Linked DNA regions of Medicago truncatula. The protein of the gene in region 2 binds, or shares a complex with, the protein of the main gene of each other region. Links are inferred from orthologs where the notes say so. Each region holds a gene or a part of one and is shown on either strand. Other genes may lie near its edges. The genes, in order: NAD(P)H-quinone oxidoreductase subunit N, chloroplastic; NAD(P)H-quinone oxidoreductase subunit S, chloroplastic.

Evidence for each region.
Region 1: NAD(P)H-quinone oxidoreductase subunit S, chloroplastic (region 2) and NAD(P)H-quinone oxidoreductase subunit N, chloroplastic share a complex: the UniProt entries of both Arabidopsis thaliana proteins name them as parts of the chloroplast NDH complex. The link is inferred for Medicago truncatula from reciprocal best matches to the Arabidopsis thaliana genes NdhS and NdhN.

The regions. Positions count from the first base shown.
Region 1 is NC_053044.1:31,880,924-31,888,744, reverse strand, and holds NAD(P)H-quinone oxidoreductase subunit N, chloroplastic, read right to left. Parts: upstream 2,861-7,821; 5' UTR 2,723-2,860; coding exon 2,315-2,722; intron 1,800-2,314; coding exon 1,683-1,799; intron 1,443-1,682; coding exon 1,357-1,442; intron 1,118-1,356; coding exon 1,054-1,117; 3' UTR 766-1,053; downstream 1-765. UniProt on the Arabidopsis thaliana protein: NDH shuttles electrons from NAD(P)H:plastoquinone, via FMN and iron-sulfur (Fe-S) centers, to quinones in the photosynthetic chain and possibly in a chloroplast respiratory chain.
Region 2 is NC_053049.1:12,186,345-12,192,311, forward strand, and holds NAD(P)H-quinone oxidoreductase subunit S, chloroplastic, read right to left. Parts: upstream 1,796-5,967; 5' UTR 1,549-1,795; coding exon 814-1,548; 3' UTR 720-813; downstream 1-719. Other genes in the region: methionine adenosyltransferase 2 subunit beta, read right to left, coding at 2,111-2,242, 2,413-2,543, 2,813-2,936, 3,142-3,329, 3,431-3,590, 4,982-5,200. UniProt on the Arabidopsis thaliana protein: NDH shuttles electrons from NAD(P)H:plastoquinone, via FMN and iron-sulfur (Fe-S) centers, to quinones in the photosynthetic chain and possibly in a chloroplast respiratory chain.

The DNA.
Region 1 (7,821 bases), on a different chromosome or scaffold from region 2:
AGTGCCCTTAGGGACATCAATATTCCCAAATTTCATGTCCTTGAAAACATTCCTTGACAATAAAGGTACAGCTGAATAAAGGCGCGAGGATTCATGAATAACCATTGTTAGCTGCATTTTATGCCACAATAAACAAGTTTAATTAGTTATTGTTTGTTTCATAGTATTTTGAAATTAGTTTATTCTCAGCCATAAGAATCAAAATGATGGACAGGATTTGCAGAATGACACAAAGTTAGTCTCTAAGACTGCTAATAATTCAAATATGTCCTCGACCTTGCAAATTGTCTTGCAGATTAGTCTTTTTCGAACGTAATTCGATAGATTGAAATTATTGTAGTAATGGACTAAATGTAGAAGACCAATTTAAATATGAAGGTAAGTTATAAAAGTAAGAGTTCAATTAGCAAAGCCGGGTTTTTTTTTTTAAAATATTAATAATTTTAGGGACTAACTTGTCACTACCTTACAGAATCAGGAGCCGTTTTGATGGTTTACTCGGAATGAAAGTTTTGGTTACTAGTTTGCATATCAGGACTGGGATTCTACCCGTGCAAAGTTTTAGCACCTCGGCACAAGCGCAATCAATTATGCGATGTCCCTACCAGCCGAGCTAAGCTCACAGGGACCAAAACATAATTAATCTATTGTGATGTGAGGGCAAATTAATTCATATTCATATGAAGACAAAAAGAACGAAGGACGTTTGGTTTTATAGTTGGTCAAATTACTGCAAAACTTCCATTTAGTTCATTCAAACCAGTGTTTTTTTCACATCTAGAAATGTCACATTGCAAATCTATATAATTTCTTGAAATATCATCTTTGATGAAAATGTTTGTGCCATGACAAAATTAAACCTTGAGAATGTACATATCACTCATGGTTGTGGTAAATCTAATTATTTACAATGATATTCATTCATCGTTATATATCTTTTGGTGTATTTTCTTATCTGCAAAGTGCCTTGAGTTGGAAGTTCAAGCTTGAAGACAGATGAAAATATTCCTACTTGGTTGTTGATGCTTGGAAAATCAAATGCATCATCATCTATCAAGCTTCCTGACTAGTGGTTAGTCCAGCAATTTCGTTTAGCGGCTTCCACATAAACTTTCTCCTGATCATTCACATAAACAAACATTAGAATGAGATTTCATTGTGGAGAAGCTCTTATTGCTAGATGTTAATCCAAACTAGACCTTGCATATAAAGGTGGAAATTTAAACTGAAGTAAATTGGAGTCCTCAAGCACAAGTTTTGCAACAGAGAGCACTGATAAATATCAAAAGAAATAAGCAAAGAAGAATAAAAACTGTAAAATCTACAAAAAGGTTATTAGAAAATTTGGCATCCTACCAATTTCCACATTCAGCAATGACCCTCACATTAGGCCTTAGTGTTGGCAGCAGAGCAAGGAATTGTAGTTCAGCCTTGGAGAGAACCTAAGCAACATCCGAAGCAACATTTTAGTACAGCAGCCATTCAAAAAAAATAGGTGGGTTTGTGCATTGTCCTAGAGATATAATAATAATACAAATAATTCACCCTACTTCATCTAAAAGCATTTTGAGATGGTGTACTTATAATAAATTTCAATATGAGAAAACATAAAAGCAATAATCATTCTGTTTTAAGTATGTGAGGGGTATTTTAATGTAATAAAAGTAAAGCATAATCCACACCTTAGCTTCAATGATCCACACCACCAGTCCTTTGGCATTTGGTGGTAATGCTTCCAATCTGTAATCAACTTCTGGTGGGAAATACCACCTTGCTATTGGTTGCTTTCCTAAATGAGCCTGGGATTCATGAAAAAATTCCATGTAGTGTAAACTTGAGTAATAATCTATGAAGCACTAAGACAGAAACATTCATTAGACACGACATTGACACTTACACGTAGAAACTAATAACAGTTTGAGAAAATGAAAGTTATAGAATGTAACCACACCACATGTATCGTTGTACTATTGATGTCATACAGTGACACATGCCAGACACACTTTCAATCTTAAGTGTTGGTATGTACTACATTGGTAATAATAGCTATTAATCATTAAAAGCCGAAAAAGTATTTTAAAGGAGCAAACAACTATTTTGGTTCTTGAATATGTGTGAGGCGCTATATATATCACTATATAGTTTCTAAATGTATCGAAATTGCAAGCATGCCCACAAGAGTATCTTTTATCATTCATTTTGATACTCGAATCTATTTTTAGGTAGTCAATTTAGTCCTCAAATATGTTTTCCCTAGGTCAATTTCGTTCGTTCATAAAATTAATAAGAAAAGAGACACAAGGTATGTACTTACAGGGCAAACAGGGTGAACTTTGGTGAGAGTGGTTTCAGGATCACCAAGACCACGAGCTGTAAGATCAAGAAAATAGTAACCTTGACGTTGAAGACGCGATAAGTAACGTCCTTCATACCCTCCTTCATGAGGAGTATATATTGCAAGTGCTTTATGTTCTTCAACATCTGAAAGCCAACGTCCAATATCAAATTTAACCAAATCTCCTCCAATGAAGTCACCTAATCCTATTCCACTACTGCATTTCACTACCCTTTTACTTCTGTTACTGTTACATTGTTTTCCTCTCCAACCCATCATCAATCTTACACTGTTGTTATGATTTTCAGCCATGAAGCTGTTCCTTGGTGGTTGCTGAATGTTAGAGCATGTTGGTCCTCCACAACCTAAGCTTGCAGAGGCTAACATTTTTGTTTTGTTTCTTTCTTTGGTGCTAATGAAGAAATTTATTGTTGAATAATGTACATTTTTTTTTTTATTTCTTCGTAAGTTGAAAGATAAAGAAACATTGGTTAGAAATTGGAAATTAAGACTGAGGATGAATGATATTAGTTGTATGGTGGAGAAATGAGATAAAGTCTTGTCTTCACTTGTAACCTTCAATTAGAGATAGTGGCATATCATCATGTAGTGAAACTATTCACTTATTCACTCTTATTATTTGTTTTCACCTTTAGTATAAAAAAAGTGAGTGTTGTTAAAGATTTAGATATTTAAATACTTATTTTATGATATTAGTGAACTAATAAAATGATATTAAGTACTACTTTAATTTATAATACTTCAAATAATATATAGTACTAGGATTTATCAGATTAAGAAAATCAAGAGAGAAGGAAGTAGGATGATATGTTTTGATTTCTCAAAAATGATGCACGTTTACATGAATCAAAGTGTGGTATTTATACTACTAAATTTACCACTATTACATATGTAAAATTATTTGTTTGACTATTCTAATTTGACGTTTAGTAATTGATCCTTACTATTATAAGTTGACGTTATGAATAGATATTTCAACCTAAATAGTAAGAACTAAAATTATAGGATAATTTAAGTTTTTATAATTTCTTATATCAAGTGCATTATTTATTTTTATTTTTTTTTAAGGAAGTGAATGCATCCTTATTACATGCCAATTTGTTGTGATTTTTTTTTCCCCATACTTTTTGGGCACCTTTCTTCTTTCTTTTTTTCAAAAATACCTCCATTTGAATTTTAGAATCCAAAATGTGTTTTCATAATCCATATGCATAATGAAACCATGAAAAAACATGACTAACACTCCATTAAATAAAATTCAACAATGTAATTCATCACCATCATCATCAACAATAACAATAACAACAACAACAACAAAAATTAAAAACATCGGTTAAACACAAACAAGATCATGGACAAGGCAAGCTAGTTTCTTAATTAGGTTCAACCATGCACGCTACAATTTCTTGAAATATCCTGAGACCAATAAAACTTACCCGAAAATATTGATAGATCTCAATAAGGAAGCGTCTATCTCGATTGGTTCCTTGGAACTATATTGATCAAATATAGGGAACAGTTTTCACATCATCGTCGTTTTAAAGTTTCATCTTAGTGAATCGAACGTGTTCATCTAAATCAATTAACGGAGGATGATACTCAACACTAACCAAACTTCTTATAGCAACATCGTTGAAATAATCACTCAATTTTTCCTTTAAATCAAATAACGTAACACCAACATTGATCATAAACAAACCAAAATTTTCATTGTTGTAGTAAACTGCAACTATATGTGTTAAACGGTGCCAAGTCTAAAATTTCGCTCTCCTAAATAAAATGATTTTGCTGATTTACCACGTGCGGCACTGCGTATTTTAAATTAGACAAAAAAATTGATTATGGTTCTGAATGGTGACGGTGAAGGAGAAGTGATTCAAATCATCCAAAAAAGTGGTCCTAGACATCAACCTTCAACCAATAATAGAATAAAAATGATATTTGAACATGTGACAACTTTCCCTCTTATATTTCTATTATCTTTTACTTTATCTTTTTATTACTTTGATTTTTGTGCAACTTCCTACTATTTCTTTGTAAATTATGTTGTCCCACAAATTATCAACCAAATTAATTGTTTAAATAACACTCCTAAGATTCTGATAAATTTTTTTACTAACGTAACTGACGGATAAACATGAAGAAGTGGTCCTGCATCAGTAATGACATCAACTTTCAACTAATAATAGAATAATAAATCTTAACAGACTCTAGCACTTTATAGTAATGTTTATTTAGAGGTTTTATAGAACTTTATAATTTAATTACATGAAAAACCAGGGGAACATGTCCAATCCATTTCACGAACATCAACCATTAAAAATTACTACGTAATATACTAATAATAGGTCAAAAAGTGAACGATATGTTCAATTGTACTTGCATCTCGAACTTTTCGAGGAACTGGTTTAGTTTTTAAGTGAGTTCAGTTACACTGATAATATTCTAGTATATTCGAACTAAGGTCTAAGTATTGCCTCAAGAAGAAGACCATTTTAAAAACCTAAAATGGTACTCGTAACAACGTATGTGGAGCCTTAAAATAAACCCACCGCAAGTAGCAATAAAAAAGACAATATTTTACATATGTAAAACCTATTTCAACTAGTAATCTTGATCTTGTCAAAAAAAACTAGTAATGTTGATAATATTCATATAAACATCTTCATATGTTTGAATTATGGAGATCACAATTCAACAAGTTGAGTTTAGCAAAAGAGTTATATTATTATCACATCATTGTGTGCCAAAATTTGAATGAATCCCGATTAAAAGATGTATTAATATTTAGTGTCTGATATGTCTTAAACAATATTATTTTTAGTGGAATGAAACATAGAAAACAACGATGTATTAAAATACAAATTTAATCTATCAATTTTTTTTTAAGAAGCTAAAAGAGAATCAATATATATAATAAAAAACAAAAAGAGAAGGAAGTTAAACCTAAGATGTGCTTAAAAATGGCTCACAACAGTGTCACAAAAAACCGAAATAGAAAAGGAAGAAGATAAAGAGCCTATAACGACAACACAAGGTGATAAATCCTAAACATACGAAGGATTCGTCCGACAATCATAAAGATCAAAACCAAAATTGTGTTTATGAGTCTTCAACCATCACAAAGAATATGTTTTCACCCTCTTGAGCATTTAAGCAATGGATGCTTTCAATTAATCTATTCGGTTGATTTTTGGCACTTCTTATGCTGATTTTCCATGCTTTTGATTTTATATTCCATTTTATCTTCTTCAAAAAAAAAATCTATTTAATTCTTAATCATAATCCGTCTATTTCTTTTTAAGTACCATTTTTGGAAATTTTGTTCTTATTTATTTATCTTGTTTAAAGGTCAATGCAACTTTAACTATTGCTTTATTAATAATACGCTCTAATTATTTATTTATTTATTTATTGGGAAATGTTAACGAGTGCTTCCGAGACATTCTTTGAGACTTTTATATGGTAACTTTTTTTGAAAATTTATGTAATCAATGCATCGAAAATCAAAATATTTGACTTTTTATGAAATAATTTATTCTCTTAAAATCCTTAAAGAGTGTCCCGGGAGCACTCGTTAACAAGACCCTTATTTATTTAATTGATGGTAATACTTTAACTTCTTTTTTTAAAGGTTCAAATGAAATATATTACCAACTAAGATAAGACATTTTAGCACAAAATGTACCGAAAAGATTTATAAAAAAACAAAGTGATATTACAAATCAAACCAAAGCAACAAAAGAGAAGAAACGAGTAAATTACAACAACTAAACAAAGAATAAGATTCAGCCTCCAAAGATGGTTGTCAAAATTAAAAGCAACATATTTTGATTTTAAACACTAGAATGATTGAAGCTTAAATTGTTCACTTAATTATTGTAAATGTTCCACCATGTGCTGGAAAATACACATATTTCGCTCTTTCCAAATGATCCAAACCATAGAAGTATAAATAACACTAAGTGTCAAGCTAACAATTTTCGAATAGCTCCGAACCTAACAAACTACAGTAACACTGATCCAATAAATTCTCATGAGATGACGTTGAGAAGCCTAGTCAACTTGAAATAAGAAACCAAATTCTTCCATATAAATCACACTTAACAAATAGGCGATCCATGTCTTCTATTAAACCGCAGCCTGCTGAACAATATTGATCATTTTGAGGAAAAATCTTCCGCCTTACCAAGTTATCCTTAGTCGGAACATGGTTTAGTAACAACCGCAAAAAAAAAAAAAAAAAAATTAGTTTAAGCAAATCAAACCTGATTATTCACCAAAGGAATGTTGTCCTCCGCCCAGGCCGTATCTGAGGTAGAGTGAGTAGGGTGACCGTCCTATGCCCCAAAAAATAAGTACGAAATTACTTTAACAATATTGACATTATTCAATTTTATTCTCTTATATTTTTTTATGGTTTTGTGTGCATGCCCAAATATATTTATTTTGACTTGTGCCCAAGTAAGTATATTTCCCCGTATGAAATGTTTTGTATAAGCATTTGAATATTAAATAAAAAACTCAATTTTTTTTATGAATTTTGAATTTTTGTAAGGTCATTTCTTAACGTGGTAAAAACTATCATCTTCAAAACAAATTATTTTTATACTTTGAAAATTTAATTATTTTTATATACTCATAATTTATGACTCAAACCGTATATTCGCTCTAAACCACCAAATTTTATAAAACGGCCATGCTTCTACCGCAGTCAAGTAATTATATGGAGCTTGGTCAATCTCTGCAACTATATTTTGAAAAACTTTCTGCGACAAATATATAGACATGATTTAATTTGAGAGAAAAAAGCAAAAACAAAACATCACGAATGTCAACAAAGTAGAACGTTGCAGCTTCAAGTTCCAACTCCGTCCCTTTCAAAAAAAGTTCCAACCTCTGTCGTGACAAAAACAAAGATTAAGGGTGATTTTCTAATGCCAGTTGCATGCATTGTGCACCTTCATCCAATATTTAATTTCAACATTCAAGCTGAATCAAGCACGCTGTAAAACTGGAATATTAATCAGTATTGTCAATCAAGTAGTATTCTATCCTATAAAGTAAAGGTTCTGCTTACTAGTGTCCTAAGAACACCGATTAAAGAATCATTTAATATAAATTTTATTCTGAAAATAAGAGTTTTTGTTTTTGTTTTAACAATTACTACACAACGAGTAACAAATACAAAAGGACCAAAGAACAAAGCCACCTCATTACAGATAGATAACTAAACATGGTAAATGATTCAACCACGACAAATGGTAAGAGAAAGCAAAGCTAGGACGGTTCTCTTTCAGCCACCAGTATGATTAAAGCTTAATTTTGTCGAGTAATTGATGAGGCGAGGTCTCTTATTGATGAAAGACCCGAGCATTTCTTTCAATCCAAATCACTCACACACAAAATGGTCATATGAGGTTAAAAGTTGAGCGAATACTTTGGAAAAACTCGTCTCCTAAGGT
Region 2 (5,967 bases):
ATATTAACGGAGGGGGGTAATTGACAGACGCTTGACAATTTCAAGGGAGTATTTGAAGTTTTGCAAAATTCAGGAGAATTTTTGACGAAAGTTACAATTCCAGGGGGTAATTGACTATTTAATCATATTAAAATTATTGTTTAATCCAATATCATGATCCAACTGATTAACGTTGAATATGTTTATTTCTTTTTTTTTTTTTTTTGGTCAAGAGAATATGTTTATTTCTAATAAGTGAATCATTAAATTTCGTCTAAGGTTTAATCCTAAAATATATTTTTTCAATAATTTAATCCTGAAATCATCAATCTTATATAAAATTAAACAATAACAATATCGATAATCATTCAAAATTATCATATCATTACAATATTTGACTTTATTGCAATAACTTTGAAAGTAGCACATAAACTGATTTTGTTCTTAACAGAAACCGTAAGTTGTTAATACTCCATCCATTCTTTACATGAACATGTACCAAAATTAAAGAGTATTAAGAAAGGTTCAGCACAATGAAATACTCTTTTAGCACCAACGTCACATCAAAGGTGTCCAGTGTCCGACACTAACATATGTAGTTACATTTAATTACTTTTATTTTTCAAATTATTATTACTACTTTAACATGTCTGTGTCAACGTAGTGTCTACTACATGTGTGCTTCATATCTTTTTACCTTAAACTTTTTTTACTTCTAAATAAAAGATCAAAGCAGCAAATGAAATACACAACTAAGATTCAATTGTCAGAAACATGTAGTATGATACAAAAGTGAACATGTTTTGTTACACAATAACAACAAAGAGCTGAAAACTATGATTTCTTTACAAGAAATGGTTCAAGAACGCAAGACTTAGGATTCTTCATAGGAGGACCTTTTTCTCTTCTCTCAAGTTCCTCAAGCCTAAAGGTGATCAACTTATCCCAATTCCCTCCTTCAAACAGTACTCCTGCTTTACCATCAGTGATTCTTTGAACAATACCACAGTACATGTAAAAAGGATTATTTTGATTCTTCACAATAGCAATCATTCCTGGAAGTAACATAGGAAGTTCCGGTGGTTTTGGCTTCTCCGATGAAGAAAGTTTAAGGCTTTTGTTTCCTTTAACAGTTTTAGGAAGAGGGTTCTCTTCAATGAATTTTTTCAAACCTTTTTCACCTCCAGGAAATCCTCCGGTTAACCCCATTAACTCTTTATCAAACCCGTCTTCTGCAACACTTTCAAAGGATTTTGTTGAGTTACTTGTTGAGTCTTCTTGTTCTTTGTCACTTGCTTCTGATGATGTTGGCTGATTCTGATCATCAAGACCAACTTCTCTTTTAAGCTCTTTTTGAAGACCTTCTTCTCCTTTGCAGAGACCTCTGCCTCCCATGATCTGCAGCAAGTCGAATTTGGCACATGTTTGTACTGTTTTGAAGGTCGGTTTGCTGTGAAAGATGGAAGCTTTATTGCTGTGAGGATAAAGATGAGTGAGGTTCTCTTGGCCTAAGAATTTGGATCTAAGAAGAGAGCCATGAAGGCTATGAAGAGCAACAAAGGAAGACATTTTTAATTAACTGTTCAGAAAATTGGCTGAAAACAACATTAGAGAGAGGAGAAAGAGGGATGGATAGCATAGTTTCAGAATCTAATCCTGGCCACAAAATTATTGGATAGGCCTATCTTTTTATGAAATGAAAAACTATCAGAAAATCTTCTTCCAATTTAATCTTGACCACAAAGTATATTCTTTGGACCAAATTTGCCTATATGAGGAAAGAATTTTTTTGCAACATAACCTTATGATTAAATTCATTTTAGCATCAAATTAAAGTAATCCAAACACACAATTTATCATGAGAAATTATAGCAGTGAAAAGCCAAGGCAACATATTTTCAAGCCTAATGAAAAGTATGACATAATTCCCATGATAATGACACATGATGGAAAGAGTGTGTTACAATGATGACCCACTATTTCCATTCTTGGTATTTTCAAGAATTTACATAGATTTATTTTACAGCAATCTAAATGCAGTAACAACTATTGAGAGCACATGTCATTTTTAATGGTGAACAACGATACTCAAATAAACAAGGAAGCCTTATACGACAAGTTTGTTTCTGCCTCACTGTTGAGCTTCAGTTGTAAGCGTTAATTTAACACCGTCTTTAAATGAAACAGGATTAATATTTAGAGTTTGAACCAATCTAGTGATATCCATAGATATGTCAGCCGGGGACTTCACACCTCGGTCAACCTGGAAAAACAATAACGAAAACTCAAAAATGTCGCAATAAAGAACAATCAAAGACGAGCAGATAAATCATATCATGTTACCAAACTGATCAAATTGACATCAAAAGATAAATGAAAAGCTTTGAATTCCACATCACAAAATTTTAGTTATAAATGAAGCATAACACATACCGTTGAAGCAGAGACTGCTTTGATTAATGAGGTATCATACCCTCTGAATTGTGCAACAGCGTCAGCCATTTCAACGCGCGATACCCTATCAGGTCCACCGGCATTAAGTAACAACTGCATTTGCTTTCCCTCTGTGACAAGAATCAGAAATCAAATCATGAAAGCGAATTTGAGACCCCTCAAGTTTAAAGAACACATGAAAGTGAAAATGTCGTACATAATTGTAAAAGAGTTATAAGATATAAACAATTTTCATAGATAAGGATTGACCATCTCCAATAAAAGTGTTTTGAAACCTTAAAAAAGATCTAACTGAAAATCAGTTTCATTAAGAATCTCTTTTTGCAGCGTACCACATGTTTAAACAATATACACGAGTTATTTACAAAAAGTTCTGTACCTGATAACCACTGGCTTGTTAAAGCTAGTATGATAGTTACGAGATCCTTAACGAAAATTGGACAACGGAACTCGTCGTGAAAGAAATTCACCTTTTCTCTTTTAGAAAGGGCACTGTCAATCCACTGCAATAATAAGAGATTTTCTCAGTTATTTTTTTTATTGCAGACGGAAAAATGGTGAGCCAAACACTACCACCGTCTTTTAAGAATTCATCATGCAATAAGTAACAGAATTTGCAAGCATCATTCACATTTCAAGTTTCATCGATCCTAATGCTGGAAGCATTAGTTTTCAAATAAAGTATAATTCTATATACTGCACATGCACCTGAATAGGAAGAGATTTTGGAACTGGTGAGACAGTTTGTGGCCCATAGATGATACTGCTTCTCAAAATCGCAAAGTTTGGGAAGTTTTCTGAAATGAACTTCTCTGCTGCCACTTTAGTTTTTCCATAAACATTTACTGGAATAGGAATGTCTTCTTCCTTGTAAAAGGACTTCTCACCTTCGTAAACTAATGAGAAGAAACATAAATTGCAGTTTAGCTATCAAAGTGAAAATGAGCATGGTTATAGATAGCAATGCAATGTATTGATTGCGATTAGATTGGTTTACCTTGATCTGTGGAGAGATGAATGAGAAGAGTACTGTTCTGTTTAAAGCTTTGCAACCATTTTACGAGGGATGACGGCACATTAATAGCATTTGCAGTATCAGGATCATTTTCACAAGCACGAGGCACCGAGATGGCAGCACAATTGACAACCACATCAGGCTGCCATTAACAAACAAACAGAGAATTGTCAATCCAATATTAAAAGCTTAAACTCTTATTTGTAAGCAACTGGCATCTATCCAACTTATAGATGTTTGAAAATTTGTTACATAAAAGACCAAACCAAACATGCTTTATCTCTTTATTTCTGCGAGATACATGCGTTTGCGTAGCACACAAATCCATTTTCATACTGGTATAGCAAGAATAATGAGTGACTATCAAATTGAGAGGTAAAGGAGATAACAGCCTTTTTCTTATATAAACACGAACTCTGAAACTTCAAAAGCATGTAGCGTTAGATTTATATTTTTTTAATGGGTTTGTCTAACATGTGCAACATTGCACATGTTAAAGAAACTAAAAGTAGCAACTTTTTATTGAAAAACCACAAGTATTTATTAAAAAGTTATATATTTAATATAAAATGTTCAAGTTCCAATACAAACTTACTACTTTAAATTTCTTAACATGTGCAAGTTTGCAGATGATAGAAAAACCCTTTTTTAATTAAATTCAACTTCAAGTATGAATGAAAGTAAGGGCTGCTAATGGAGGAAGTGCATGTTTAGGGTGAATGGAAGATAAAATGTGTTCATTTTTAACTAGCAAATAAGAAGACATGTTCACTTTAACTTACTAATAAGAAGATGAGAAACTTTTGATTTTGAAGTTAGTCAATGTAATGAAGAGATGATATAAAAAAAAATAAAAAAAAGTAGCTAGGGTGATATGCATTTTTGGAAGTAAGAATACATGTTCAAACATTCTCCTTTCTCTTTATTAACAAGTGAAACAAAAACAACCAAGCCCGTCTAGCTCAGTTGGTAGAGCGCAAGGCTCTTAACCTTGTGGTCGTGGGTTCGAGCCCCACGGTGGGCGAATTTTGTTTTTTTGTTAAAAAAAAAGTAAAACTAACACAAATTTATGAAAAATAAAAAATATTTTTAAAAAGTAAACTGCATTGATTTTCCAACTTGTAAAAGTACTTTTGGTAAATTTAGACTAAATTGTTATCTCAAACATAGCATATACGACTTCAATTCAATCTTACATACACTAACATGTTTGGATAAACAGTTTAAGTAGGTGCTTATAGTATAATCTCTTATCACAAAAGTGATTTTGTATAAAATATTTATATAAAAAAGAAATATATTTTCATATAAGCTATAAGCTGTTTTCATAAGTTATCCTGGTTCAAGCTTATGAAAATAAGTTGAAAACAACTTCTGCACATATCATAAACTGGTAGATAAACTAAACAAACTAATCCGTATAAATCAGTAAGTCATATTACAATTTGCAATGAATCAGATCAAGCCCATTAATAAAAATCATGTTTTGTCACGACCCAATTGAATTGTAAGTTAGAAAAGTGAGAAAAGAACCTGGCCAAAAGCATTGGAAATGGCATCAAATCCAATGCCAGATTTCAAATCGACTTGGAAAGATTGAGAATCAGGAAATGCATCCAACAAAGGTTGAAGAAGAGGAGAAGAGTGATAGGTGAATGCCACTGTCAGAGATTGATTAGAATAATAAGATTGTAATAGATGCTGACCCAAGTAACCTGTGCCTCCCACAATCAATATCTTCTTCTTACTCATCACTTCTCTTCTTGTTTCTTTTTTGTTTACTTTTGATTGCTTTCACGTTGTAGTAATTGTAATGGTCAATGTTTTGTGTCTGAATTCTTTTATTATTTTTTTTTACATTTTCGTAGGATTAGGCCTATGTTTGTGGGTACATTTTCTTTTTAATCGTGTTTTTAGTCTCTACAAAATCATGAGTTTTCAAATTTAATGTTTATAAAATTTTAATGGTGATTTTAATTCTTTAAAATATTATAGTTTTTTTTTTTTGTGGTGGTCGGAGTTCGATTCCCGAACCTTACATATATAATGCATTGTTCATATCAATTCAGTTAAGTTCACGTGAACTTCAAAATATTATAGTTTGTAAGAATAGTTTTTATTTTGAAAATATTTTATATTTTTAGTTCTTTAAAATAGTCCCTATAAATAAAAATAGAAATTAAAATGAATAATTTTTTGTAATAACTCAATTTGAAAGCTTGTAATTTTGTAAGAATTAAAAACATAAATTGAACAAAGGTTTTTTTTTTTTAACAAGTCAAGAGAGAATTAAATATAACCAAACCAAATAGTAGCTTCCAAGCATAAGGTGTGTCTAGAACCTCCTAAAGTACAACAAGGAATGTTAACAACTACACGAGAACACCATCGGTGTTAGCCAATGCTCAAACAAGCTAAACAACTTGACCACCATCTCTGGCCAAATACAAACATGACATTTTTGGCTTTCAGCCATCCCAAAGATAACAATTTAACTTTATCTAACATACAAGGGACTA